7 linked regions of the Oryctolagus cuniculus genome follow. The protein of the gene in region 6 interacts with the protein of the main gene of each other region in a pairwise test. Links are inferred from orthologs where the notes say so. Each region holds a gene or a part of one and is shown on either strand. Other genes may lie near its edges. The genes, in order: PTS; EIF5A2; PYCR3; ANP32B; LDOC1; SDCBP; cytochrome c oxidase subunit 4 isoform 1, mitochondrial-like.

Evidence for each region.
Region 1: the proteins of SDCBP (region 6) and PTS interact in binary tests that used the Homo sapiens proteins (3 or more experiments, as listed by UniProt). The two-hybrid records come from large-scale screens. The link is inferred for Oryctolagus cuniculus from reciprocal best matches to the Homo sapiens genes SDCBP and PTS.
Region 2: the proteins of SDCBP (region 6) and EIF5A2 interact in binary tests that used the Homo sapiens proteins (3 or more experiments, as listed by UniProt). The two-hybrid records come from large-scale screens. The link is inferred for Oryctolagus cuniculus from reciprocal best matches to the Homo sapiens genes SDCBP and EIF5A2.
Region 3: the proteins of SDCBP (region 6) and PYCR3 interact in binary tests that used the Homo sapiens proteins (3 or more experiments, as listed by UniProt). The two-hybrid records come from large-scale screens. The link is inferred for Oryctolagus cuniculus from reciprocal best matches to the Homo sapiens genes SDCBP and PYCR3.
Region 4: the proteins of SDCBP (region 6) and ANP32B interact in binary tests that used the Homo sapiens proteins (3 or more experiments, as listed by UniProt). The two-hybrid records come from large-scale screens. The link is inferred for Oryctolagus cuniculus from reciprocal best matches to the Homo sapiens genes SDCBP and ANP32B.
Region 5: the proteins of SDCBP (region 6) and LDOC1 interact in binary tests that used the Homo sapiens proteins (3 or more experiments, as listed by UniProt). The two-hybrid records come from large-scale screens. The link is inferred for Oryctolagus cuniculus from reciprocal best matches to the Homo sapiens genes SDCBP and LDOC1.
Region 7: the proteins of SDCBP (region 6) and cytochrome c oxidase subunit 4 isoform 1, mitochondrial-like interact in binary tests that used the Homo sapiens proteins (3 or more experiments, as listed by UniProt). The two-hybrid records come from large-scale screens. The link is inferred for Oryctolagus cuniculus from reciprocal best matches to the Homo sapiens genes SDCBP and COX4I1.

The regions. Positions count from the first base shown.
Region 1 is NC_091432.1:104,171,589-104,175,665, reverse strand, and holds the start of PTS (6-pyruvoyl tetrahydrobiopterin synthase), read right to left. Parts: upstream 2,801-4,077; 5' UTR 1,330-2,800; coding exon 992-1,329; intron 1-991. Other genes in the region: BCO2 (carotenoid-cleaving dioxygenase, mitochondrial), read right to left, coding at 4,030-4,077. UniProt on the Homo sapiens protein: Involved in the biosynthesis of tetrahydrobiopterin, an essential cofactor of aromatic amino acid hydroxylases. Catalyzes the transformation of 7,8-dihydroneopterin triphosphate into 6-pyruvoyl tetrahydropterin.
Region 2 is NC_091435.1:109,418,971-109,422,470, reverse strand, and holds part of EIF5A2 (eukaryotic translation initiation factor 5A-2), read right to left. Parts: intron 2,232-3,500; coding exon 2,100-2,231; intron 1,531-2,099; coding exon 1,471-1,530; 3' UTR 1-1,470. UniProt on the Homo sapiens protein: Translation factor that promotes translation elongation and termination, particularly upon ribosome stalling at specific amino acid sequence contexts.
Region 3 is NC_091437.1:167,534,439-167,538,683, forward strand, and holds the start of PYCR3 (pyrroline-5-carboxylate reductase 3), read right to left. Parts: upstream 2,801-4,245; 5' UTR 2,800-2,800; coding exon 2,640-2,799; intron 1,473-2,639; coding exon 1,408-1,472; intron 1-1,407.
Region 4 is NC_091432.1:201,785,877-201,790,045, reverse strand, and holds the start of ANP32B (acidic leucine-rich nuclear phosphoprotein 32 family member B), read right to left. Parts: upstream 2,801-4,169; 5' UTR 2,443-2,800; coding exon 2,389-2,442; intron 1-2,388. UniProt on the Homo sapiens protein: Multifunctional protein that is involved in the regulation of many processes including cell proliferation, apoptosis, cell cycle progression or transcription.
Region 5 is NC_091453.1:119,608,529-119,611,998, reverse strand, and holds LDOC1 (protein LDOC1), read right to left. Parts: upstream 2,109-3,470; 5' UTR 1,745-2,108; coding exon 1,304-1,744; 3' UTR 501-1,303; downstream 1-500. UniProt on the Homo sapiens protein: May have an important role in the development and/or progression of some cancers.
Region 6 is NC_091437.1:83,752,945-83,756,878, reverse strand, and holds the start of SDCBP (syntenin-1), read right to left. Parts: upstream 2,801-3,934; 5' UTR 2,661-2,800; intron 1-2,660. Other genes in the region: uncharacterized protein, read left to right, coding at 2,866-3,203. UniProt on the Homo sapiens protein: Multifunctional adapter protein involved in diverse array of functions including trafficking of transmembrane proteins, neuro and immunomodulation, exosome biogenesis, and tumorigenesis.
Region 7 is NC_091434.1:149,299,163-149,301,679, reverse strand, and holds cytochrome c oxidase subunit 4 isoform 1, mitochondrial-like, read left to right. Parts: upstream 1-1,435; 5' UTR 1,436-1,450; coding exon 1,451-2,017; downstream 2,018-2,517. UniProt on the Homo sapiens protein: Component of the cytochrome c oxidase, the last enzyme in the mitochondrial electron transport chain which drives oxidative phosphorylation.

The sequences.
Region 1 (4,077 bases), on a different chromosome or scaffold from region 6:
CATGGGAGACCGGAAGAAGCTTTCAGCTCGTGGCTCCTGACTTCGGATCGGCCTTGCTCCAGCTGTTGTGGCTATTTGGGGAGGGAACCAGCCCATGGAGGTGCTCGCTATCTCTCACGCTCTCTCTCTCTAACTCTACCTTTCAAATAAATCTTTTAAAAAAGAAATGACAGAAATAATTATCCTAATTTCTCAGACAAGAAAAATGGGGGCTGAAAGTGGAGCTTGCTAGTGAGCACTAAAACTCTCCTCAACTCTTAAGTAAGGGGGGGGGGGGGGGGACACATCCCGTATCATCGACTCCTCTGCTTTCCATTCAGCTTCCTGCTAATGCACGCTCTGGAGGCAGCAGGTGATGCAAGTCCTTAGGTCCCCACAGGAACGTTGGGTCCAGGGGTGGAGGGCCTGGCTCCTGGATCCTGGCTCCTGGGTCCTGGCTCAGCCCTGGCTGTTGCAGACATTTGAGGAGTGAACCAGCGGATGGAAGGGGCTCCCTTGCTCGTGCTGTGTGTGTGTTTCAAACAAAATGAAAATAAAATCAAACTTGCCTAGGGTTCAAATCTCAACTGCGCTGCAGGTTTAGGAAACTGAATATATAAGCTCATATTAAATCTGGTCAAACGTGCCGTGTAATTAATTCTCCTCGACGCACAGTAGCTGTGCTCATGACATATTTTGGCCAACTTGTCAAGTACAGGGTGATCTGGGCGAGGTTAACTCGCTGAACTTCACGGCCGCCCTCTGAGAGAGGCACTAAAGCCCCCGGCTCCAGAACCCAGGGCGCCCCCCTAGTCAACCGGCCCGGTTACCCAGCAGACCCCTCGGTCTGCTCTAGCGCCGGGCCACGTCACTGAGCGGCCACCCCGCGGTCGGCGCGGCCCCACCCAAGGTCTCGGGCGCGCGCACGTAGGCACGCCTCCCGGCCCCGCCCCCAGAACGCTCTCCGGAGGGACCAGTGCCCGCCTCTGGCCACCTGTGGGGCCCTCCCCACCTGTGCAGCCGGTGGCTCGCGCTGAAGGAGACCAAGCGGGACACCCGCGCCCAGCGGCGACCGCCCGAGCCCGCCGTGCTCATGGTCTTCCAGGCCCACGCCCTCAGCCGGCGCCGCTTCCCTCTGCGGCTGCGCAGTGCGGGCTCGTGCTGTCTCCGGAAGCGCGCCCCGGTTTGGGCTGCAGCCAATCCCGGCCTGGGGAGTTCTCCGCCCGCCTGGCCGCGTCCCTCGCGCGCGCGCGCTCGCTCTCTCCGAGTAGCGGGAGTTCGATGAGTTAGGCAAACCTTGGAGCGCGCAGACAGCGTGGGTGGGGACTTGGTGTCCTGAGACCACGCCATGCGGTTAGGGCCGCCGTGGGTACGCGGTGGGTCCTCGAGTGACCTCGTTGAACTTCCTCTCCCGCTCCTGGAAAGCCTTGGCTCAGTTAAAATGGAAGACTCCGGACACTGCCTGTTCTTACCAGGTGCATCCTAGGACCACCGTCTACTTACAGCATAAAAGGGGCAGGAATTTGAGAGCGCCCGTAGGACCACGTGGCGTTCCCTCTCGTTGGACTGGTACTGAGTCCAACTAAGGGGACTCCTAAAGCCGTCCTCACCATCCCCCAGTGTGCATGGACCCCAGGTATCCCTGTGGGTTGGTATAGTGTGAACACGCAACCATCAACACGTGTAAGCATCTCTCTGGCCAGTGAAGACACCCTGGAAGGAGAAGATCCCGTTTCCTCACATCTACTCACAAAGAAGGTTCACAACGTGTCCCCTCTTGCTTCCATTCATTCTTTGATTAAGTATTTATTACACACCTACCATGTGGCTAGCACTGCAGCAGGCCCTGGGGAGGAGAACTTGGCATTGTCCATGACAAAAAAAAAAAAAAAAATCAAATGAAGAGCAGGATAAGTCGTTTCTTGTGCATTAAGAAAAGGAAAATAAAATCATGGGAGTGGTAGAAATATAAGGACTGGAAAGTGAGGGATATGGGGGCTACCTTGCCAGCACATGTCCATCTGGGAACTTTATAGCGACTCTTAATAGAAGCCAGCCTTCTGAGACAAAGGAGCGAGCACAAAGCTAGTAAGTGTTGTATGAGTGAAGTGGGGACTACATCTAAATGGCTCTGATCTCAAAGCGCGGAATGCTAGCAGGACTATTGTTTGCTTATCTTCTTCAAGAACTTTGCAGAAGGCAGGGCCAAGACAATTCACTGGTGATTTCTCTGAATTGTTTCCTATCTCTAGCTACACACACAGGGTCTTCAAAAGTTAATAGAAAATGGAGATTATGAAAATGAAAAAAAGAAAAGCATGAATTTGAAAATTTTTTCTACCAATTATCTTTTAATTCTATTTTTCCACAAACTTTTAAAGTACCCTCATATTGTTTGTTGTGCATTAAATTATTAATGTCATGTAGACAAACATTTTCAAGTATTTGTCTCATGTCCCTCATTGGGTTATTTTTAAAAAGACCTTTAAACAATTATAAACCTGGGGCCAGCACTATGGTTCAGGTTAATCCACGGCCTGCAGCACTGGTATTCCACATAGGCACCAGTTCAAGTCCCGGCTGCTCCACTTCTGATCCAGCTCCTTGCTAATATGCCTGGGAAATCAGCAGAAGATGGTCCAAGTCCTTGGGCCCCTGCACCCACGTGGGAGAACTGGATAAAGCTCCTGGTTTCGATATGGCCCAGCTCTGGCCATTGTGGCCATTTCGGGAGTGAACCGGCAGTTGGAAGATATCTCTCTCTGTCTCTGCCTCTCTCCCTCTGTAAGCCTGCCTTTCAAATAAATAAATAGAGTTATAAACTTTTATAGATTGTTGAGATAGATACTACTTCATTCCTCTCACTTAATAGATAAGAAAACACAGGCCCACGAATTATTTATCCAGGGTCACTCAGAATAGAAACAATATTTCCCAAGAATTGATTATATTAGATAAATATTGTCTAGAAACCATTGTTACACAAACATTTCTCATTCCAAAAACAGTTTAAAGAATCAGAAGGTGAAAGGACAGAAGATATTTCTAAGAAGTTGCTTAGTCTCCTACTAAAATATTTCATTGCATATGCAGAGTTCTTATGCTAAGTTGTCTTATTAAAGGTAATCCTATTTAAAGATACTCACCAATTTCACTCTCTGGTCATCACTGATCATTTATGGGTTATGGATTGAACTGTGTCCCCCTAAGAAAAATTCCTATGCTGAAGTCCTAACCCGAAGTACCTGAGAATGTAACTTTATTTGGAAATAGGGTTATCAACTGGTGCAGGGTTGGAGTTCAGTCAGGAGGCAAGGGTGTTACTGAAAGGAAAGGGAACAAAGGATTTTGAGGGTGTGGGCAGGAGTGTGGTTTAAGTGGCAGCTGAAGGTAGCTGCTTCTGGCTATTGGTGAAAACTGGTGAGGTTTAGAAATATAGAGATTATGTGGTCTCTAGTGCCACCTGTTGCCCAATTACTGGCTTTTCATCAGTCCCTGAAGAGCTACACACCTGAAGACAAAATGCCTGATTAGTGATATCCCTCAAAACAGCCTCCACTCAAGGCTGAGCTGGGGAAGGGGGAGTGGCTGTGGGTGGTCTGCAGGAGCTTGGTGCAGTTACAGTAGTGTCTGCTGTAAACAGCCAGTTTAGAAGCCTCCAGGGGTAAAGATGGCTGTAATGGAAAGGAGAAGATGTCTATGAGACCAGTACTCCAAGTCTGAAATTGCTTGTGCTCTCCCAGGACCTGTTACCTTACAGTCTGATGGTGGCAATGACCCAGTTTTAGTTTCTCTTTATGCATACTTACTATTATCTAAAGAAAGATATAGCCAATAAGTGTACATTGATACTCTGTCAACAGGTTGTATCAACATTTGCTTAATGATTTCAAGGAAAAGCCTCAAGAAAAGATAAAACCATAGTCGTCTCATGAATTCTGTTTTTAATAGTAATGTAAAAATCAAACGGTTTGGAAGGTTATGATGCCCTTTTTTCTCTCTTTTGTACAAAGCGTACTGATTTTAAATCTGGTTCTTGTGGTTATCCCATCAGATGGGTATGAAGGTGCCATGGAATCCGTAGGGTATTTGCACAGG
Region 2 (3,500 bases), on a different chromosome or scaffold from region 6:
ACTGAGTCAATGATCCTCACAAACTCTCTAACAATGCCTAAATGTCTGGAAATAACACACATGTGACCCAGAAGATTACAGAGAAAATCAGGCTGTCACCTAAAACACCCTTTAACATAATTCAGTTCGCTTAATTCTTTCCTAGTTGTATTTCATACTAGTAATTGAATTAAGTCATATGACCAATCAGAAAACAAACATGTTTAAAATAATTTTTGCACATCAAGTAAATTTCTTCCATGATTCATTTTCATTTCAGTTCAGAGAAATATATATGCATTTAACAAATATCCCAAATCAAGTTAAATAAGGATTTCCAGTTTTTGTCTAACAAATATTTTAATGTTAAAACATCTAATGAAAAGTGGTTGGTAAGCAGTAATTGCTGATAAATGGCAACTCTAATTAACAAGGTTAAAAGAAAGTGCTGCACAGTATCTTGTAAACACGGGTCACCACTTTAAATGTAGGGTTGCAGGTGGTGCTACAAAAGTTAAAAGTAAAACCATAACTAAAAACAACTTTGTTTTACTATGCTGATTACAAAGGCTTCAAATAAAAACCTATAGCTTTAATCAAACCCCTTTGCCACTGTCCTTTTTGTCTTCTTTACAGTCTGACATGCTCATAAGTGGACACTTCAAAAAGTTTGTGGAAAATGGAAGGCTGTTTTGGTGCAAAAATTTTTGAAATCCTATGCATAGTTTTATCATAATACATATTTTTCATGATCTTTTGATTTGAAATTTTTTTTACAGGAAAATAAACTTACCTTTTAATTCCACTTTCCACGAACTTTATGAAGTCGCTGTGTATTCACCCAACAATTTAATGCCCATGTTAACCACAAGAAGGTACTAAAACCACCATATATGGTTATTTCAAATTTGCCAACCATTTGGCAAAGAACAGTATGACTGAGCGAATACATGTGATTGCACATGGCCACCAAGATACCTGTACTTTTTGATAACATGGTTTTTGCTTAAAGATTTTTTTGCCAGAGGTTGAAACTGTGATAATTTCAATTCACTTTTACATGGATTCTTTACTATTAAGCTTGAAATTAATGCCGAGCAATTCACCTTAATGTGGTATTGTAATATCACTATATGTTACATTGATTTACAACCCTGGTTTATTTTGCATTAACTAAAATGCAGAAATGATTTTCTCATACAAATCACATCTGCTGAAGCTACCTTGTCTGTTTCTTGGATTCACAAACTGAAAACCACAGGAACATTATAGGAAAGACACCTACAAAGTTAAGACTAAAGAATTATACATCTTGATTATTTTCTTAAATTGCCAATTGCTTACTAAACTAACCCAGCACAATGTCAAAACAATAAAAAAAAATGAGGTGGCTTATGAAGGCCATAGCTTTGGTGACAACTTAGAATCAGACTTTAGATCTGGAGCTGACCCAGACCTAAACAGTACGCTCAGGCCTGATGTCCCCCCTCTTTATTTGCACGGCTTTATGGCTACAGCATATTCTTCACTCATTGCACACATGACAGACACCTAGAAGAAAAAAATTGCAGGCAAAAAGTTATTCAGAAATCAATATATAGAGATCTATTTAGTTCCTCATATAATGTGTACTTGTGGATATTTCGTGTGTACTGATTTTGGAAAAGTTATTTGAAAACAATCTACCTTCTTGACAGTTTTCTAAAGTAGAAGTTTTCAAACTTCAGCTGTAAAACAACATCTAGGGAACAGGGAGAGTGAGAGCTGTACCTCAGCACTTACTAGATGCTATACTTCTGAAAGATGCAGCAAAGACAAAGTAAATCTCTCACTTGCTAGCACTCCCCCAGTTTGCTTTCTTATAGCTCAGATGCAGATCTTCAAAACAAACTGGGGATTGACATAGGCTATACAGCAAAAATGAACTTTGATACTTTCTTTGGTAATGGGTCTCTAAGGGTATCTTGGAAAAATCACCTTATAGAGATAAAAATTTTAAACACTTGGCAGGATTTTTAAATGGCATTTGTATTTGGTATTTTCTGCTTACTAGTTAGGACAGTTTTTTTTTTTTCAGTTTTTATAAAACGGATTAAAACAATTTTCTCCTAGGTCTTTACCTGTACATCTTCGCCTGCATTGTATTTGCCTTCTATTTCTTTGCCTAGTTCACCTTCTGGCAGTTTAAGATCCTCACGAACTTCACCAGTTTCTGTCAGCAGGGAAAGGTAACCATCCTGAATGCATATCAGCTGTTAGAAGACATCATAGCATTTGCACTGATTAGACTATACCCATTCCTTTGTAAGGCTGGCACGATTAAATTGCAGTCAACACTAATTTGTATAAGTACAGAGTAATATACAGTAATATATTCTTGGTGTATAAAAATGCTAAAAATAAAAGAGTATAAAATACACACAGAACCCAAGTATTAAGTACACCATTCACTGTACTCACTCCTCCCTTCCCAGGCTCAATCTCTGTATTATTAAACAGTTTAGGTTTCTTCATGGTGTATTCTAAAGCATTTACTTTTATGTGCACAATATACATATGGCTACTTTTGGAAAAAAATGGGACAGCACGAGTATTTTTTAGTAAGCTATTTTCACTTAATAGTACATCTTAGAAATCTTTCAAAATTAGAAAACCACCACACAACTACATTCCTGTAAAATGAATAAACAATTGCATGACTATACCGTAATTGAATTAATCATTTCCCATTAATAGGCATATGAATATTTTTTCAATTTTTCATTATTACTAACAATGCATCTTATAATTTGATTATAAACAGTTAAGTGGAAAATTTTTGTTTTCTAGCTTGTTGCTTACGATAGTTTTTTTTTTTTTTTTAAGAAAACCAAAACCAAACACCTAGTTACTGATACATTAATGAAACAAACCCTAGTCATCAATCTATACTGTGCGTAAGTACAATTTTGATATAACTGAATTTCTTTTATTATAGGAATGGAAAACATGTATTCTAAAAGCACATCCACTATCAGTATGCCAAGGATTCTGGAAGGTTTTATAAAATGCAGGTGTCCAGAATACCAGGGGCTAACATACTTAAGGGGAGTCAAAGACATGGTCCTTGACCCCAATTAGCCCATGAAATAACCCAGGCATCCTATTGGGATAGTTTCTAGAGTTCCACACTCTCCTCTATGTACACCATCTACCAAATCTGCCTATGGTTTTCCATGAACACTCCAGCCACCGCAGATTTGAGTTTTTGCACATGGCTAAAATCTAAACAAAACAAAACAAAACACAAAAACAATCATTCAGAGCAACAGCAGTCACTGTTAATTCACCTCTTAGTCACTCAAACATTTGTGAGGTGGTGGGTAGAGGAGGGAGGAGCAAGGAGGTTGAGATAAAATAGTAAATTTTTTTAAATTAAAAGAAATATATTTTACCTAAGTTAGGTAAGTTTCATATATTTCCTTTATACCATTTTAGGAATATAGTGGCACTTCTCTCCCTATCCTTCCTCCCCCTCCCTC
Region 3 (4,245 bases), about 84 Mb from region 6:
TCTAAACTTCTGTTTCTCTTATCCCCGCGGCTTCCCGGCGGCGCCCGCCCCGAGGCTGCTTCTCGGCACCTCGCCCCGCGGCAGCTTCACGGCTCTGCGCGGCTTCCCGGCGCCTCGCCCCACCGGCGGGTTCCCGGCTCTGCGCGCACGCTCCGCAGTCTCCACGCACTTCGCGCCTGCACCACGGCCTCACGCCAGCCCCGCGTTCCCTATCTATTCACGCCCCGTGCTCTCTCTGCACGCGGCGGCTTCCGCGAATGTTTCCGCCACCATCGGCATTCAGTCCAAGTTCCCCGGACTAACCTGGCGAATTCCAACCTGGCGGCCCACGTCTCTGCCTCTGGTTCCAGATTTTCGCCTCTTGCTCCCCGGGCTGACTTGAAGAATTCCAAGATGGCTTCCGTTTCCACCTTGGCCTGCACTTGCGGCTTCATCCTCCCTAACATTTTTCTCTACCCGGTATGTTTCCCTAAGTTTTCTTCCAACAATATTCCTCCCTCATTTCTCCTGGCCTCTCCCCACAGTCCGTATCCAAGTCTAAGTTTCTTATAGGTTTCACTTTCACTTTCAACCTGCAGTCCGTATCTGAGTCTAAGTTTCTTCTTGCTTTCACTTTAAATCCTAACTTCTTTCCCACAGTCCGTATCCGAGTCTATGCCTAGGCTTTCAATAGCTTCTTCTGGCACCTTTTTCGTCCGGCTTTTCCCTAGGCTGTTTGCTAGTCTCTCTCTCTGGCATTTTCCACTTCTTCCCGTTTCTTCCCTCTTAGGTATCCTATCCGTCCTAAGTTTCCTATCCGTCCTGGGTTTCCTATCCGAGTCACGGCACCACTATGTCGCTCCCCCTCTTCATGGAGGAACGACACTAAGCCCTGCCTAGGCTTCCTATCCGAGTCACGGCACCATTATGTCGCTCCCCCTCTTCGTGGAGGAACGACACAGAACCCTGCGCTGTTCTTTCGTCTGCTCGGCCCTCCCCGGGTTTGCTGCTGGTTCTTCCCGGGTTGGCTACTATCCCTTCCACCTCCGTGGAAGGGCGGTTCCCCCTGCCACATTCCCCACTTCCGCAGGGGAGCGGCACACCGCCGGCCAGCTCTCTCGGGGGCTTCTCGGGGGCTGCTCAGGTGTTCCTCAGGTGTTCCCCTTAGATGTTCCTGGTGCATGTTGTCTCTCTCCTCCTTTATAGTCCTCTTCCACCAATCCCAACTCGGCTGCCCACACGCCGAGTACGCTGCTCTCCTCCAATCAGGAGCAAGTCCTACTGTTTATTGGTTGAACTGGAGGCAGCTGGGTAGAAGCTGTTTTCTCCTCTCCCAGCGCCATATTGTGGGAGAGCAGGTGCATAGAATAAGTCTTAATTCGAGTAACTTAGTCTAGTCCAGGTTGCTCCCCACACTCGTCCACTCACCCGGAAGTGGCAGAGGTTCCTGTCTGTCGGTGCGCTGGCCATCACATGCTGCGCTTCCACCTTCCCTGGAGAGAATGGAGAAGGCAGAGGGGGCGGTGAGAGGGTGGGAGGAGTCTGCTCCCCCCGCCCCGCCCAGCCCTGGCCCCTAGAGACTGGGTGATGTCCCGCCCGCCTGGGGCGACACAGCAGGTGCACTGATTTCATGGGGCAGCCACCGCCCCCTGCCTGCTGCTGGACATAGGGGCCAGGAGCTTGGCCTGTCCAGTGAGCACACGGACCCCAGGGGCTTACTGGCCGGGGCAGTGGGGAGGGCAGCACAGTACGGTGGCCCAAAGGGAGCACCAGGCCAGGGAGTTGTCCTGGTTCTGAAGGCACCTGACCACAGAAGGCTCACTGGGGCCAAGCTTCCCTGGAAGGGGGTGGTGGTGCTGGGATGGCCACGTGGCAGGGAGCTGGGGAGACCGGGCTGAACAGGAAGACAGCCCATCAGCCCCTGGACACAGCCGGGCATCAGGGTGGCCGCTTGGGCTCAACATCTGTGACAGCGGCTCCCGGAGCCCGTGGAGCCGGGGAGGCAGGTGATCCCCGAGACCTGCTGGGCGCTCTCCCGGCTGCTCCCCACTCCTCTGCACCATGAGCTCTGGCTGACGAGGGCAGAAAGGCAAAGGTCGCCCCTCCCGGTGCCCGCGTGGCAGGTGCAGCTTTCCAAGCTCTGGGAGGGTGCGCGGGCGATGCCCCCTCCCCCCGCCCAGGAGACACCTGGCTGTCCGCATCTCCCGACAGACAGCCGCCGGGGATGCCCAACACCCTAGGGCCGCAGACGTCCACAGGACTGAGGGCGCACAGACGGAAAAACCAGCCTGGGGCTCAGGAGGGTGAACCTCACCCAGGCCGTGAGGCCAGGAAGCGGGCCACGCGGGCCAGCACCGTCTCCAGGAGCCGCCCACGTAACCGCACTTCCAAAAGCGGAGGAGACGGATGGAGCTAACCTAAGAGCGCTCTACGTGACAGCACGTCCAGGCACGGTGCGGAAGCGAGCCACGTCCTCGGCCTGCCTCTCCCCTCCTCTCCCCTCCCCTCCCTCCCCGCCCCTCTCCCCAGTCCTAGGTCTACAGAACCCGGGAGCGCCGCACTCCGCACGCCAGCCCGCGTGGCCGCGGACAGCCGGCTGTGCGCCCGGGAGCGCGGTCCGGAGGGGACCCGCGGGCGCCCTCCCGCCCCGAGCCCGCTACCTGCTCGGATGAGGCCCCGCGCGATGGCCTCCGCCATGCGGCCGGCGCCCACAAAGCCCACGCGCCGCGGAGCCGCCTCCGCCGCCATCGCCGCTGCCGGCACTGGGCCCGTCCCCCGCGGCTCATTGGCCGAGGTCGCCGGAGAGCCGCATCCACCCATTGGCTGAGCGCCGCGGGGGGCGGGGAGGGGCGGGGCGTCGCGGAGCAGGGCGCTCTCCGCCGCCGGTGGGTGGGTCCGGGCGACTGGGCTTCCAGGAAGGGCCACCCGCTCGGAGCTGGTGAAAGGCCCGCGCGCGCAGACCCGGGAGCCCCGAGCGCCCGCGTCAGCCGGCTCCCGGAGCCGGGGCCTCCCCGCTGCCCTGGGGCGCAGGAGCGCTGGGCGAGCCCGGGGCGGGCGTCTGCGTGCCTCAGCACATCTCGGGTTGTGGGGGTCTCACCCGCCACCCGGGCTGAGGCGGCGAAGGCGTTCTGTGGTCTCTGAGCCCCATGACGTCCGCCGCGCTCCGCACCGGCGAGCCCCACCCCCGCATCCCTTCCGAACCGCAAGGCAGCGGCCGGACGGGTGCACCTGTCCCTCACGCCGCGGTCCACTGGGCTGTGGCAACAGTCCCTCCGCAGCCAACACGCACGCACACGCACCCACGAAGAGGCACGCGTGTGCGCATGCACGCATCCACAGAGGCACACCCACACAGGCACTCCTGGGCGCACACACACCCATCCACGCAGAGGCTCGCGTGGGCACCAACACACGTGACATGCCAGTCTCACCAAGATTCGAGAGCAAACAATGCCGGGGAGGGAGCGATGGGGACTGGGAGGCTGCTCCGGTCACTGCAGCCGGAAGGTGCAGATGCTGGACAGCTGGGCCCACAGTGCTGGCCCTCCCTGCTGCTCTGGTCTGGCTCTGCGCCTCTCCCCGCGTTCACACCGACTCTCGGAGGTCGACAGCTAAGGGAGGTGGGCAGAAGCTCTGACAGCCGGGGTCACGCTCCTGGCAGGTGGGCAGCAGACCAGGCCCAGGGAGAGGGTCCCTGGGAACCAGCGTTTGAGTGGGGACGGGAGAGTGGGGCAGAGGCTGCAGTGACATGGCCGGGAGGGACAGCAGGACACTGGGACCCTCCAGGGCTGCAGCCCGAGCACCCAGTTAGAGGGCGATGGAAGCAGTGGGCTTGGTTTTCTAGGAGATGGGATGGGTGGGGCCACGGGCTGACCCCCCCAGGGAACTGTGGTCTGGATGCTTTGTGCCAGTGTGAGGTCGCCCTGCCCACCTGCAGCCGTCCCTGCTGCCCCCTCTGTCCCTGCTCTCCTGGCTTCCTGGGACTGCGATGCCCTGGGACAAGGACTGAGGGACACGGCAGGGACCTGTAGCACCCAGCCCCGTGTCACAGTGGAGGACAGGAGCCGGCTGCCTTCGGTGAAATGAAACAGATAAGGGCCACCAGTCACAGCTGTGGGGACAGGACCCAGTGGCCCAATGCCAGCCGCCCTGGCAGTGGGCAGCTCCGCTCCTGTCCCAGCCGTCCCTGGCAGTGAGCAGCTCCGCTCCTGTCCCCACCGCCCCTGGCTGTGGGCAGCTCCGCTCCTGTCCCAGCTGTCCCTGGCC
Region 4 (4,169 bases), on a different chromosome or scaffold from region 6:
AACGACTGGCCTAATTAAAACTTTAATAGTCACACGCATCTTGGCAAGGTGGTCAAAAACTAAACTGATTACTTGAAAAAACTAATACTTTCACACACACATATTTTTAAAGCTATACTGCTCCATATGAGAAAGGGCACCATGGACTGGGAACAGCAGTGGCACTTATTTAGCAGAGAAAACTACTTGCTCCGAGCGTTTTAGCAGGCTTTTGGTTTGAGAATCCAGAAATTTAGATTTTAAAGACCTATGTCTGGGCTGGTGCCGCGGCTCACTTGGCTAATCCTCTGCCTGCGGCGCTGGCACCCCGGGTTCGAGTCCCGGTTGCTTCTCTTCCAGTCCGGCTCTCTGCTGTGGCCCCAGAAGGCAGTGGAGGATGGCCCAAGTGTTTGGGCCCCTGCACCTGCATGGGAGACCAGGAGGAAGCATCTGGCTCCTGGCTTTGGATCGGCGCAGCGCCGGCTGTAGCGGCCATTTGGGGGGTGAACCAACGGAAGGAAGGCCTTTCTCTCTGTCTCTGTCTCTCTCACTGTCTGGCAGAAAAAAAGAAAAAAAAAAAAAAAGACCTATGTGTGCACCTTTCTTAGGGGGAATTTTGGCTAAATTTAGATACTGTATTGATTCCCAACTTCCAAGCAATAATGGAAACTCTGGCGTTAAGCCCTCCAGGTGAGAACGAGCTCTTCAAGGTGTCTAACCACGCAACACGCAGCACGTGGCGGGCACAAAATGTCTGACTCGACCCCGACACCCGCCAAAAGGCCACCCACCCAACTCGGGGTTTCAGGGCGCCACCACGCGCGCCCGCTGACCTCAAGGCCTGCAGGTAAACAGCCCGGTCGGCCGATCCCACCAAGTGTGCAACTTGCTAACCACAGCCACCTGAGCACCCGCCACGCGGCCTCCTGCCGCCAGCGACTCACCCGCCGCGGGCTCGGGCGGCCGCGCGCCGCCTCTCCACGCGGGGGCTCGCGCTCGCTGCGATACAAGAGGCGACGCTCCCGGGCCGGGCCCACGCACACGCAGCAGCGGCCCGAGGCCGGCCGCGGCAGGCCGCACCCTGGCACGTGCGGGGGCACAGGCCACCGCACGGCCCTGCGCCGGCCCCAAGACCGCGCGAACGCCCGCGCGCCAGGCCTGCCGTTGCCCTTTTAAGAAGGGGGGAGGGCGCCGGCAGCGCGCCCGCGAGGGGACGAGTCGGCTGCAGCCGTAGCGCGCGGCGACCGCCAGTGCGAGCCGAGCCCCGGCGGGACGGGACACACCGAAGGCTCGGCCCGGGAAAGCGCGGCGGGCGAGGGCGAGCGGGCCGCGCCGGAGCTCCGAGCCGCTCGGCCGGCCGCCTCACGCGGCGGAGGGAGACGGGCGCCCGCCAACATGGCGCTGTGGCGGCCTGTGGCGCGCCCGGGCTGGCGCGAGCGGCCGCCGCCCGCCCACACCGAGGGGCCAGCCTCCCGGGGCAGGGGCCCCCGGGCTCCGCGGCGGCGACTGCGACTGCGACGGCGGGGGTGGGGAGGGCCCGGCCGCCGCCACAACGCCTGCCCGTGGCCCGCCCTGAGGGGGCCGCAGGGAGGATGGCTGAGGGCGTCTCAAAGGAGAGCGAGGGCAATGGGGGAGAAAGTTTTATTTTTAGGCTTGAAAAATGGCGGGAACCGCGTCCTTTTTTCAAACTTGGCCTCGGGAGGGGCGGCGGTTGCGCCACCTCCGCCGCCCAGGCCCGCCCCTCCCCCGCTCCGCGCGCCAGGCCGCGCCCGCCCGGGCCCCCCAGCGCCCGAGGGGGCTTCTGGCCCCCTTCAAAGGAGCAGAGCCCCCTTGCTCGCCCCCGCGGCCCCTGCCCTCGGCCGGGCCGACGCCAACCGCGAGGCCCGGCCGGCGCAGCCCCCCGCCCTGCCCGCCGCCGGCTCCCGCTCCCGGGGCCGGCCCGGGGCGTGCGGAGTCCGGCGTGGCCGGCGGCGGGCCCAGCCGGGGATGGCCGCGCGGCTCCCGGGCAGGCCCGCCTCCGCCCGGCCGCGCATCCCGGGAGGCTGCAAACATGGCTCCCAGCGTTACACAACCCCCCGCCTCCTTCTCTCGCCGCCGGCCACACGCACACGCGCTCCCTCCGGGAGAGGACCCCGGCGGGCGAGGAGCTCAAAGTTTGCGCTCCCTCACCCCGTCGCCTTCCCCGGGCGGCCGCGAGGGCCCGCGGGCGCCAAAGAGTTAATCCCCGCGCGCTCGCTCCCCCCCTCCGCCCGCGCCCGCCCGCCCGCCCGCCTTCCCCGTCCCAGCCCGCGAGCTGCGCCCTTCCCCGCGCCGGAGCCCGCGAACCCGCGGCCCGGGGCCCCCGCAGGTGGCCACCATTACATGCAAGTCATCGGGGGGGAAAGGGCGCCCGACGGGGGCTCTGCTTACAGCTGCCGGGGTCCGGTTCCTCAGCTCCAGGTGGATCCTCCTCTTCATGTCCATGTTCCCCTCTTCCCCCCTCTTCAAACTTAACTTTCCGCGGCGGGGGCGGAGGGGGGAGAGGCGTCCCGGCCTGCGCAGCGAAGGCCGTCGGAAGGGGGTCTGCTCGCGGCGGAGGCCGGCGGCGCGGTCCCAGGCGGCGTGCGGCGTGCGGGCAAGGCGAGCGGAGCCCCCGGAGCCAAGTTACTCACGGGAGCGGAGAGAAACCATGGAGGGAAAAGGGGGCTGGAGCGCAGCGCTGCTCTCACTACCGCCGCCCCCGGCCGCGGCCTCGCACTGCGCTTAAACCGGCGACGCGGCGCGGCGGCTGCTCGGCTCCACTCGGCCCCGCGCGGCGCCGCTCGGCTCCGCGGCCGCGGCTGCTCCGAGGACGGGGCGGGGAGGCGCGGCGGGAGGGCGGGGCGGGGGCGGGGGGAGGCGCAGCCCCGGGGAGGGGAGCGACTTCCTCCCTCCCTCCGCCTGCACGTGGGGCGGCTGATGTAAGACCTTGCTCGGGGGCTTCTCCGCCTGCCGCCGGGCCGAGACCCCCGGCCCGCCTCGCTGTGCTCTGCGATGGGGTGGGGCAGGGCTGGCGGGAGGCCCTCCTGTCGGGGATCGGGGGTCGCGAGGGGCGAGTCGGTCCGCGGAGGCTCCCCCGACGCCCGCGGAGGCGCGAGATGGGCAGAGAACTCGGCGCGGGGGCCTGGGGGTCGCCCTTCCGTTCCACCCCCTCCCCCTGCACAATCGGGGGCCGACGGCCCGAACCCTGGCGCCTCCTGGGCCGGGTGGCGTCGGACGCGCAGCCCAGGACCCAGGGGTGGGCGGCATCGCGGCGGGCCCGAGCTGCAGCGCGTGGCAGCGGGCGGAGTTGGCCCCGGGCCCGGCCGCCTGCCTCAGCCTCAGAGCCGCCGAGCGTCCCCCCGCCGCGGAGGCTCTCCCTCGCTTTTCTGACATTTTGATGCCCGAGAGGACTTCCGAAGGAAACAATGAGCATTTCCGCGGGGCGGCGTGGGGGGTGGGGGGGGCCTCGCAGTTACACCGTTCTCCCCGCTCACGTCTAGCGCAGTTACAACCTAGGGCCCCCCGTGAGGCACGCCGAGTCTCGGTGGTATCCATTTTGGTGACGCCTGTCAGGCCGCCTTTGTCATGCTCCGGCTCCAGGGGTCCCACGGTTAGAGCCCCAGGTCCGGGCCGTAGAGTTATACTCAGCAGAAAGTAAATAAACAGCATGGTATGTGCAGTCGGATACCTTCTTATTTCTAGTGTGGACAAGAGGCAGTTTTTTACAGAAAAAACTCCATGCATTAACTGAGATAGTTTTATGGGACTGAAGCCCCTTCCCCCGTGGTTTTACCCAAGTGGCAGACTATAAATAGCCCAAACTTAGTTTTGAAGCAATTACATATCAGTTTTTATGATAATGAATTCTCATTTCAAGAGGACGTTTTAGAAGGATTACGGAAAGAGGCGAATCTTCCCAGTTGGGAGTTTCCTCCTCTCCTTGTAGTCTCAGCCACACAGCCGTGGAGAGGGAAAGTGGAGAGGGGTGTGCTCCTCGGGAAGGCACCTGGGGACCTGTCATTGGGAACCAGGCAATGAGGGCTTTTATCAAAAAATTACAGGCAGCTACCAAGCATGCACCTTTAGGGGCTTGCTACGTTCTTTCTCGTGTTATCCCCTGACAACCCTGTCAGGCAGGTGACCCTTTCATCATGTCACCGATGGAGAAGCGAGGCCCAGGAACCGCAAGC
Region 5 (3,470 bases), on a different chromosome or scaffold from region 6:
CAGGCAATAAGGGTTAAGGGACAGAGCTTCCCTGACAGTGTTAAGGAACCCAAAAGACAAGCAGGGCTCACACTGGGGGCTTCACAAAGTTCACTGAAAATGTACATTATTTTAGTTCCATTTTCCCATGGACTTCATGAAGCCCCTTCATGCATGTGTCCAGGTTTATACGCTTGCTGTGTCACCATGATTAGTAATAGCATCCCCTTTTACTCTCAAAAGTGTCCTGGTTTGGGATGATGAGCCACATGCTCAGCCACCCCTTACCCATGCCACCCTGGAGGCCCCAGAAGACATTCCGTTTGGGCTTTAAGCTATGCCTTGGTAAGGGAAGCATTGGAATATTTTTAAAGCCCCGTGGAAACTGTCCTCTGTAGCCTAGAGATGACAATAGGGACCACTGGGATTGAATTGGACATCAATGGGAATAGCAGGAGTCAGTGTGAGCATGGCAGATGCCAGTGATAGCACTTAACCATTAAAAGACAATCATTTCTCACTTTTTGTAGTGCTTGATATTTATTGAAAATAATGCCAACTTTTTTTTTCCAGGTAGTATTGAGGAGCTGAGCTTAGTGCGTTTTTGCTTTTTGTTTGTTTTGTTTTTAGAAACATATGTTCAACCACACACATTGGTGGGGCTGCTGCAATTATGAAAGAAAAACGACAGTTGTGCATTAGAGAAAAGAGACATCAACAATTTGGTTGCCAGGCACACCAGGTCCCCGCAGCACTCAGGCTGGGTAGAGGACCCTAGGAGTAGGTAGGGAACTAACCAGGTTGAAAAACAGCCCCTTGAGGGGCCGATGAGCTGTCCAAATCAATGTCCGAAAAGGTGTAGCCAAGTCAGAAGTCTTCTGTGTTGGTCCTTGTCTCTAAAAGCGATGATCTGTCAGAGGCTTGCAGTGGGCGATGGCGCAGTGGTAGCATGAGTCTCTGTGCAGGTGTAGGCCTGGCAGCGAGGCAGGTGGCAGCAGCAGTGTGATCTGAGCAGTTTGTAACAGGGGCCTGGCCTATAACTGGGGCTTATGACACAGTTCAGATGAGGTGGGGAGAGGTCCTGGGGCTAGGCAAATCAGATGACCGGCTTCAGGGTGAGGCCCCTGCCCAGCCCCAGCAGCAGGTAGCTGGAGCACTACTCCTGGAACAAAGACAAGCACTTCGGGGGTTGGGGAGGGGAGAACAGGAAGGCAAGGGGAGTGCAGCAGCTCCGGAGGTCGGGTGGGATGGGGTGGGGGTGGAGGAGAGGGAGAAGTGGCTGCGTGCAGGGCTCTCCCCTCATAGGCCCCCAGCGGCTCGGGGCCTAGTAATCATCCTCTTCATAGTCGTCGTCGTCGTCTTCGTCATCATCCCAGCCGAAACACTGCTTCATCTCATCCAGGAAGGCCCGGTAATCGCCTAGGATGGGGCTATCCATCTCGATGTAGGGCACCACCCACTCCTCGGCTTCCCCGGTCAGGAGGCTGATTAGGAATGCCACCTTCATGGCGTCGTTGCAGAACCGGTTCTCGTTCACGAGCATGTAAGACGCCGTCTGCACAATAAACTCGGGGAGCCGGGAGCTCTCGCCGTTAAACGTTTCAGGGAAGGGCACCGGGCAGCTCGGCGGACGTACCTGGCGCAGCAGGCTGGCCCTCTCGCAAACCAGCAGCCGCAGCTGTTCCATGAGCTGGCTGTTCTCGATGCTCAGGGCGCGGTGCCTCACCAGCAGTGCGTGCAGCAGTAACACAAGCTCGTCCACCATCTCGAACAGCTTGAAAGGTCTGGGCTCGCTCGAGTAGGCTCCGCTGGGCCAAGATGCACACAAGAGGCCTTGCAGGAAGTGCGTGTCCTATAAAGTGCTGTGGCCAGGGGCGGGGGACGGCGAGCGTGGGGTCCCGGCGGCTGCGCAAGCTCCGCCCCCGAGGCCACTCAGGCAGGCGGCGCGCCGGCGCAGCAAGGTGCGGGCGGGGCCGGGGAAGAGGCCAGGACGCAGTGGGGGCGTGGCCTGGCTGCCGCGAACCGTTGGAGGGGACTTGAGACCAGGGAGGGAGTGGCCGGGGAGGGAAGCGCAGGGTCGCGCAGTGTCGCGGAGAGCAGACAAGTGCTGGCTCGCTAGGAGAACTGGTAAAGGCTGTGAAATGGGGCCGAGCCCCGGATGTGAGGCCTGCGTTAGCCTAGGGCCTGGCGGGCACTGAGCGCCATGTCGCAGACAGCCGACTCGCACAATTCACTGTTTCGCGGGTCTGCAAACGCCAGTTTCTTGGGTGCGATGTTTTGTTGATAGGATTAATCGCCTTTTCAAACCTCCCCTAGAGAAGTACTGACGCTGCTGACTGCCCTGCTGCAATCACCGATCCTTTCAGAGTCATAAAGACTCTTAAGGGGTCCGGGCTTTCGTCGCAAAGCGGTATTTGAACAGGGACTTTTATTTAGAAACCATTACTAAGTGTTGAAAAAATTCTGAATAGAGGCTTATAACAAGTTCTGCAAAGTCACCATCTGATAAGCGCTTAAGGTGACCTCCCTGTGTGGCTCTGTTTCACGTCCTGATATCAGAGCCTGTGGCAATGGTTGTTATTCTTAACAATGAGGAAACCATGAAGACATTTGTGCTCTTTAATGTTTTTTTCTATTTGAATGTGAATATTCAAATAGTTTTTGACAACGAATGCAGCCCTCTTTGTCACTTCTACCATTGCCAGACCGCTAAAAGCAATCACTTTTAGCTTGCTTTCTTCTCTTCCTACACTCTGTTCTCTATAGAGTAGCTGTGGGAATCCTTTAGCGCAGAAGTCAGATCCCTTCCCTCCCTGGCTCAAAACCCTCCAATAGTTTCCCCTGTCACTTAGAATAAAAAACAAAGTCTTGACCATGCCCTATAAGGAAGGCCCTGCCTACTCTCCTAGGTCTCCCATTCCCAGTTCTGCTCTAATCACACCCCACCCCCTGCTGATTCTTACACATATCAGCTAATTCCAGCCTCAAGGCCTTTGTACTTTTTATCCCTCTGAATTGCAAAGCTCTTCCCAGTTAGAGGCCTGGCTCCTCCCCTTACATTCCTACAGAACTTTCCTGAGCACTCCGGTTCTCAGAGCGCCCTGTTCTGTGCCACCCAGTCTCTAACCCCTTACCTTATATGTTTCAATACAGAACATTTATCATCATAATCCTGGCCAGCACATTGTAGAGCACTTTGTTCATCATCTGCCTCCACTGTAGAATGTAAGTTGGTGCAGAGAGAGGCTTTGTTTGCTAGCTGCTTTATCTCTAGTGCCTAGAAGCCAGCCTGGCCCAGAGAAAGGTCTCCATTAATGTTTGGTGAATGATAGCATCTCAAAATGCAAATGTTGAGATGAAAACTAGAAATGGTGGCTGCACAAAGTGTCCAAAAGGATTCTTCAAATTATGTAGTGCAGCTCTGATGATGAAATCAGTCATAATACAAATAACAAAATTATTTTTTAAAGTAATCTCATTCACTCTTTACA
Region 6 (3,934 bases):
GCTCTGGCTCCTGGCTTCCGATCAGCTCAGCTCCAGCCATTGCGGCCATTCCGGGAGTGAACCAGTGTATGGAAGACCTTTCTCTCTGTCTCTCCCTCTCAGTCTGTAACTCTACCTCTCAAATAAATAATTAAAAAAAAATGCTGTCCATTTATCTTCAAAACCAAGAAAATTTAACATTTTTACAATTAAATTATCAAAATTTCTAAAACAGTATTATCTCCTTTCACTTAGACAAATTCATGAAATGGCATAAAAATGTAAAACGTGTTCACTGGCCTTAGACGGTAAAAAGTGATGATGATGATTTCTAGCATGCTGAGGGTAAGATTCAGTATAGTTCCCATTGGTATTGAGGAACACAGTTAACGAAGTCCTACACTTGGCCAAAAGGCAGAGAAGCAATACTTGATAAAGCCCTAAACAATCTTCCAGAGACTGTTTCCCAAACTTGGCCAATCATCAGATTAGAATCACCTGGGGCATTAGTTAAAAATAGCTTCCCAGGCTGACACAGATTTCATGGAATGGACTTAAGAACTCTTCTTTTTAACAAATATCCAGGGGGATTCTGCAGATCAGCCATTGAGCAATCCAGCCACAGGAAGTTCCCATTCTGACTTACAGGACTAGCAAAAACCCAGTTTAACAACACTTGCTGATGCAAGGCTTTGAGAAACACCTATGCATCACCAGTTTGGGGAGTGTAAAAAAAAAAACACACAATTTTCATGAACAATGGGTGCCCGGTATCTATGAAAATTATAAATTCAGATTCCCTCCCACCCGGTCATATAACTTCAAGTCTTCAGCCTAAATATACATTTGCACAAAGGAAGCAACATGCACAAAACTAAGAGTTCCAAAATACTTTGATTGGAAAATAAATGCATGATGTACAGCAGTATATAAAGTATTTTAATTGGCTCATTGAAAGGAAAGAAATATATTTGGACATTCGCCTGCACAGGAATAAAATCTCTGGACGAAATCCAAGAAACTGAAAACAGCGGACAGCCTATCATAAAGTAATACGGTTGGCTAGACGACACAAACAGGAGATTTTTAAACCGGATACTGTTTTAACTGTGGCAGTCCTGAGTCAGTGACTGCCTACCTCCTCAACGAGGAAATAAATTAAAAAAAAAAAAGTTGGCAGCACTTGGAAAGAAATAAATGACAATATAACTATCAGGTGTAGGAACTCTTTCAAAGTTGCTTGGGGGAGTCTTTTCACAGTCTTTTGGCATTTACCTTTAAAAAGTTCCCCAAACTCAAAAAAACAGGAAAAACAAATAGTTGAGTAACTCTTCATTTCAAAGAACTGTTTTAAGTACATTCAAGTGTCAACCATCAGCAAATTATTTCCCCTTCGTTCCTGATTTTTATAGTTTCTTATAATACCCAAAACAACTAAAATTAATGTTGCCAGAGTTAAATTTGAACTAGGATGAGGTGACCATTCACTTAACTTTTTAAACGTCATTTCCTTTTGTTTATTCTGTAACCCAAACCACTTGGTTTATGTACCCTTTAAGGCACTAAAGTTTACAGAGCTGAGTAACAGATTAGGTGAAAACAATTTTTTTTTCTATTTGCACTAAACTTCAAAATAGGAAACTGACCAGATTAGACAAATTTGAGTTCTCATTGATCACACAGACTTTTAGAAATCAATCTAATTAGAAGGCCTGCAGCTGCGTTTCGACTTTCCCTTTTTAATCCAACAGTTTTCTCTTTAAAACAAATGGATGTTTAAGAATTTGGTAAACTGAATGTACTTTCTAAGTAACGTCCTTAACGGGAAGAAAAAGAAAAAAAAACCTGGTAAATTTTTAAGCATAGAATACAGTCAAACCAGGTAACCCTAGAAGGTCCTTTCAAAAATCACACAACAGAAGACGCTAATGATTCCGTAATCCCAGCGCGGTGAAAGGAAAAAGTTTCCATATCCACACTGCCTGCACTTCCCCATTATTCCAAGGAAATCCCGAAACGAAAGCTCTGAGTCACCAGATCTCAAAGGAAATACGCGTGTTTCCTTCCGAACACACCCCACTGGAAACGTTCTTCCCTCGGCTCCAACTTCTCCAGCACCCGGCGCGGAGCCGCGACCGCTTCCCCACCCCCTCCACAAAGTCAAGGCTTCGCCCGCGGAACAAACACCGCCCTCTCCCCTCCCGGAGCCCGGGCGTTCCTGGCGAGCCACCGAGGAAGGTGACTGAGTACAGCCCCAGGAACGCCGAGCACCGGGAGGCTCCGTGCCCAGCGGCTCCTTCTTCACCCACCTCCGGAGCCCCTCTCTCGAGGAACAACAAGGGTCCAGAAACCCGTCCCGGAAAGAGAGCCCAGAGCCGCGCGGGGCTGCGGGCGCCGCCAAGAGCGGGGGCCTCGGGGTTCCGTCCACCCCACCCGCGGTCCGGCGGGACCCCGACTCCGACGGAGCGCGCCGCTCCCGAAACTTCCCTCCTCAGGCCCAGCTGGGGGCAGGGAAGGACGCGCAAGCCCCCCGAAGAGCGGGCGTCCTGCCTCCGCCGCCTCCCGAAAACCGCTGTGACGGGGGCGCTTTCCGTTAAGTGGCCCGAGCGGTCCACGTCCCTTGTCCCCCGAGCCCGAGGTGTCGCGCGGACGTCTCCCCCTCGTTCCCAAAAGCTGCTCACCTAGACCACAAGGACTCGCTCGCCGCCGCCGCCGCCGCCGCCTCGATCACTGATGCCGACTTCCGAGACCCGAGAAAACGAGAGCGGCGCGCGCCCGAGGACCGCCCGCCAGGCGCGTCACGGCACCGCCCCCCCCCCCACGGGGCCTCGGGCCCGCGCAGGCGCACGGCGCCGGGTCAGGTGATCCGGTCCCCGTGGAAACCGGATGGCGGGGGGTGGGGCGGGGCCATGGAAACGGGGGCGGAGCGTGGGGGGCTCTCTTCTGGGGTTCCAAGGGTCACAAACGTCTGGCCGCCCGCACCGCCCACCGTCGGGGGCGCCAGACTGCCCAGCGAGGATGCCCAGTCTGCCCTCTGCGGTCCCGTCGCCTTATGCTCAAGGAGACCTCGGGACCCGCTCACTGCGTGCGTTCCCCCGCCTGCGGTCACCTGGTTGGCTTCTAATACAAAGAGGTACCGAGAAGCCAGCCTTCCTCTTGGAAGGTTTTCCTTGCCCAGCTTCCGGCTTCCGTCACTGCTGTCCAGCAGTCACAGTACCCTGCTGGTAAACTCCTCCCAAGACCCTTTCTTAACTCCTGCCCCATTTATCTGGGTTTTTTGTTTGGGCTTTTATTACTTTTAACGTTTGTTGTTAAAGAGGTGTAATATTGTGCAATGATAGCTGTAGCCTAACACAAAAACTTAAAAACTAGCGTTTCTTGAGTGCTATGAGCTAGGCATTATTCCAAGAACTTAATGTATATAATCTTATTTAATCTTTACATCGAACTGTAAGATAGGTACCAACGACCCATTGCAGAGTAATCAGTTACTTTGAAATACCAGAGCCCTTGACAAAATATCATTAATTTACAAGAAGTTTATTGGTAACTAATAAAAATCTGGGCACAGAAGTGATGACCTGTAATAAAGTTGCCCTTGGGGAGCTTATAGTTTAGCTGATGTGAAAAACATTTAAAAACAATCACACAGTAGCTTGGGAAGGGAACACTTTTTTTTTTTAACATGATTGTGATAAAATTCCTAAGAACTGACTCATACACACAAGCTAATAAACAACTGTAGCAAAGCTGCAGGGTATGTTGCTGAACAACCCCGAAGTTGCTATAGAACCCCCAAACCTGGGTCCGCTTGCCTGATACGCAGAAAGCCAACCACTGACATTGGGGTGGCAGATGAAAATAGGTATGTACTGCTAAGTGCAGCGCGAGGAGCTGGACAAGCTGTTGCTCAATTTCCAGGCTCTCAAGCACTTAGAGGTGAAGGTTCTCGTAG
Region 7 (2,517 bases), on a different chromosome or scaffold from region 6:
AACATGTTGTTTAGCTTATCTTATTTTTAATTTTATTTCATATTAATTTATGCATTTTCTCTTCTATTACTTAACATTTTACTTGAAAGTATGCCTTTATGATTTATGCATGTTTTATGCAGACCTGCCTCCTCTTTTCACTGCTATATAGTATTTCATTGCAGGGTATATCACAGTACATTTCTCATATTCCTGATTTGTAACTCAAGCGTTTCCAGGGTTCTGCTACTACAAATAACACTGCTATGAATAATCACATAAATTTCACTGAGGGCTCCTATGCAAGAGCTCTTTCAGTTCAGATGGAGTTAAATAACTTTCACAGAGGGTGTACAAACATGTAAATGAGTATCTCCATTACTTTCCAAATTGTTTGTGTCAATAAATAAACCTTTAAAAAATTATCACCATATGCTTACCAACTGTAATATTATTAGCCTTTTTAATTTTGTCAGTAAAGTAGTCTACATGCTGTATCATTGGAGTTAATTTTGTGTTCCATAATTTTTGCTTATGTTGAATATCTTTTATATAATGGATATTTACTTTCTCTTTTTGTGAAGTTCATTTATCTACTATTTTTTCATTGTGTTGTTTGTCTTTTTTTTTTTTTTTGACAGGTGGAGTAGACAGTGAGAGAGAGAGAGAGAGAGAGAGAGAGAGAGAGGTCTTCCTTTGCCGTTGGTTCACCCTCCAATGGCCGCCGCGGCTGGCGCACTGCAGCCGGCGCACCACACTGATCCGATGGCAGGAGCCAGGTACTTCTCCTGGTCTCCCATGGGGTGCAGGGCCCAAGGACCTGGGCCATCCTCCACTGCACTCCCTGGCCACAACAGAGAGCTGGCCTGGAAGAGGGGTAACCGGAACAGAATCCGGCGCCCCTACCGGGACTAGAACCCGGTGTGCCGGCACCGAAAGGTGGAGGATTAGCCTAGTGAGCCGCGGCACCGGCCTGTGTTGTTTGTCTTTTTATAATTCATTATGTTCATATTTTGTGGTTTGTCTTTTCATTTTCTTTGTGGTATCTTTTAGTGGTCAGTCACTTTCAATTTTAGTAAACTAAATGTTTTTTAAAATTTACTTATTTAAGGCCGGCACTGTGGCTCACTAGGCTAATCCTCCGCCTTGCGGCGCCGGCACACCGGGTTTTAGTCCTGGTAGGGGCGCTGGATTCTGTCCCGGTTGCTCCTCTTCCAGTCCAGCTCTCTGCTGTGGCCCAGGAGTGGAGGATGGCCCAAGTCCTTGGGCCCTGCACCTGCATGGGAGACCAGGAGAAGTACCTGGCTCCTGGCTTCGGATGAATCAGCACAGTGCGCCGGCCGCAGCGTGCCGGCCGCGGTGGCCATTGGAGGGTGAACCAACGGCAAAGGAAGACCTTTCTCTCTGCCTCTCTCTCTATCACTGTCCACTCTGCCTGTCGCGGCAGGCAGGGGTCGACGGTACCGGCAGGATGTTGGCCACTAGGGTGCTGAGCCTCGTCGGCAGGTGGGCGATTTCCACCTCAGTGTGCGTGCGGGCGCACGGGAGCGTTGTGAAGAGCGAGGACTACGCTCTCCCAAGCTACGTGGACTGGCGTGACTACCCCCTGCCCGACATGGCGCATGTGAAGCAGCTGTCTGCCAGCCAGAAGGCCCCGAAGGAGAAGGAGAAGGCCCCCTGGAGCAGCCTCACCAGGGACGAGAAGGTCGAGTTGTATCACATTCAGTTCAACGAGAGCTTCACTGAGATGAACTGGGGCACGAATGAGTGGAAGACGGTGGTGGGCACGGCCCTGTTCTTCATCGGCTTCACTGCCCTCATCCTGATCTGGGAGAAGCACTACGTGTACGGCCCCATCCCGCACACCTTCGACAAGGAGTGGGTGGAAGAAGTAGAGCTCGCTGCCGCAGAACACTCGCAGCGCTGCGCACGCACAGGAAACCCACGTCAGACAGCGCCAGTCCTAATAAACGACCCGTGTCCCCGAGGTCCTCTTGGACGAGAACTAAATGCAAGCGTCTGTTATTTAAAACAATAGATGTCTCCCAGGCGTCCGAAGTAAACATATACTGTCAAAAAAATTTACTTATTTATTTAAAAGGCAGAGATACAGAGAGAAGAAATGAGAGAAATCTTCCATCCTCTGGGTCACTCTCCAAATGGCTGCAATGGCCGGGGCTGGGCCAGGCTGAAGCCAGGAGCCAGGAGCTTCATCCAGTCTTCCTTGTGGGTGGAGTGGCCCAAGTACTTAGGCCATCATCCACTGCATTCCCAGGCATATTAGCAGGGAGTGAGATTGGAAGCTCAGCAGCCTGGACCAGAACCCATACCCTTGTGGGATGCTGGAACTGCAGGTGGAGACTTAGCCTTTTTTTTTTTTTTTTTTTTGACAGGCAGAGTGGGCAGTGAGAGAGAGAGAGAGAGAGAGAGAGAAAGGTCTTCCTTTTGCCGTTGCTTAACCCTCCAATGGCCGCCGCAGCTGCACTGCGGCCAGTGCACCGCGCTAATCTGACGGCAGGAACCAGGTACTTCTCCTGG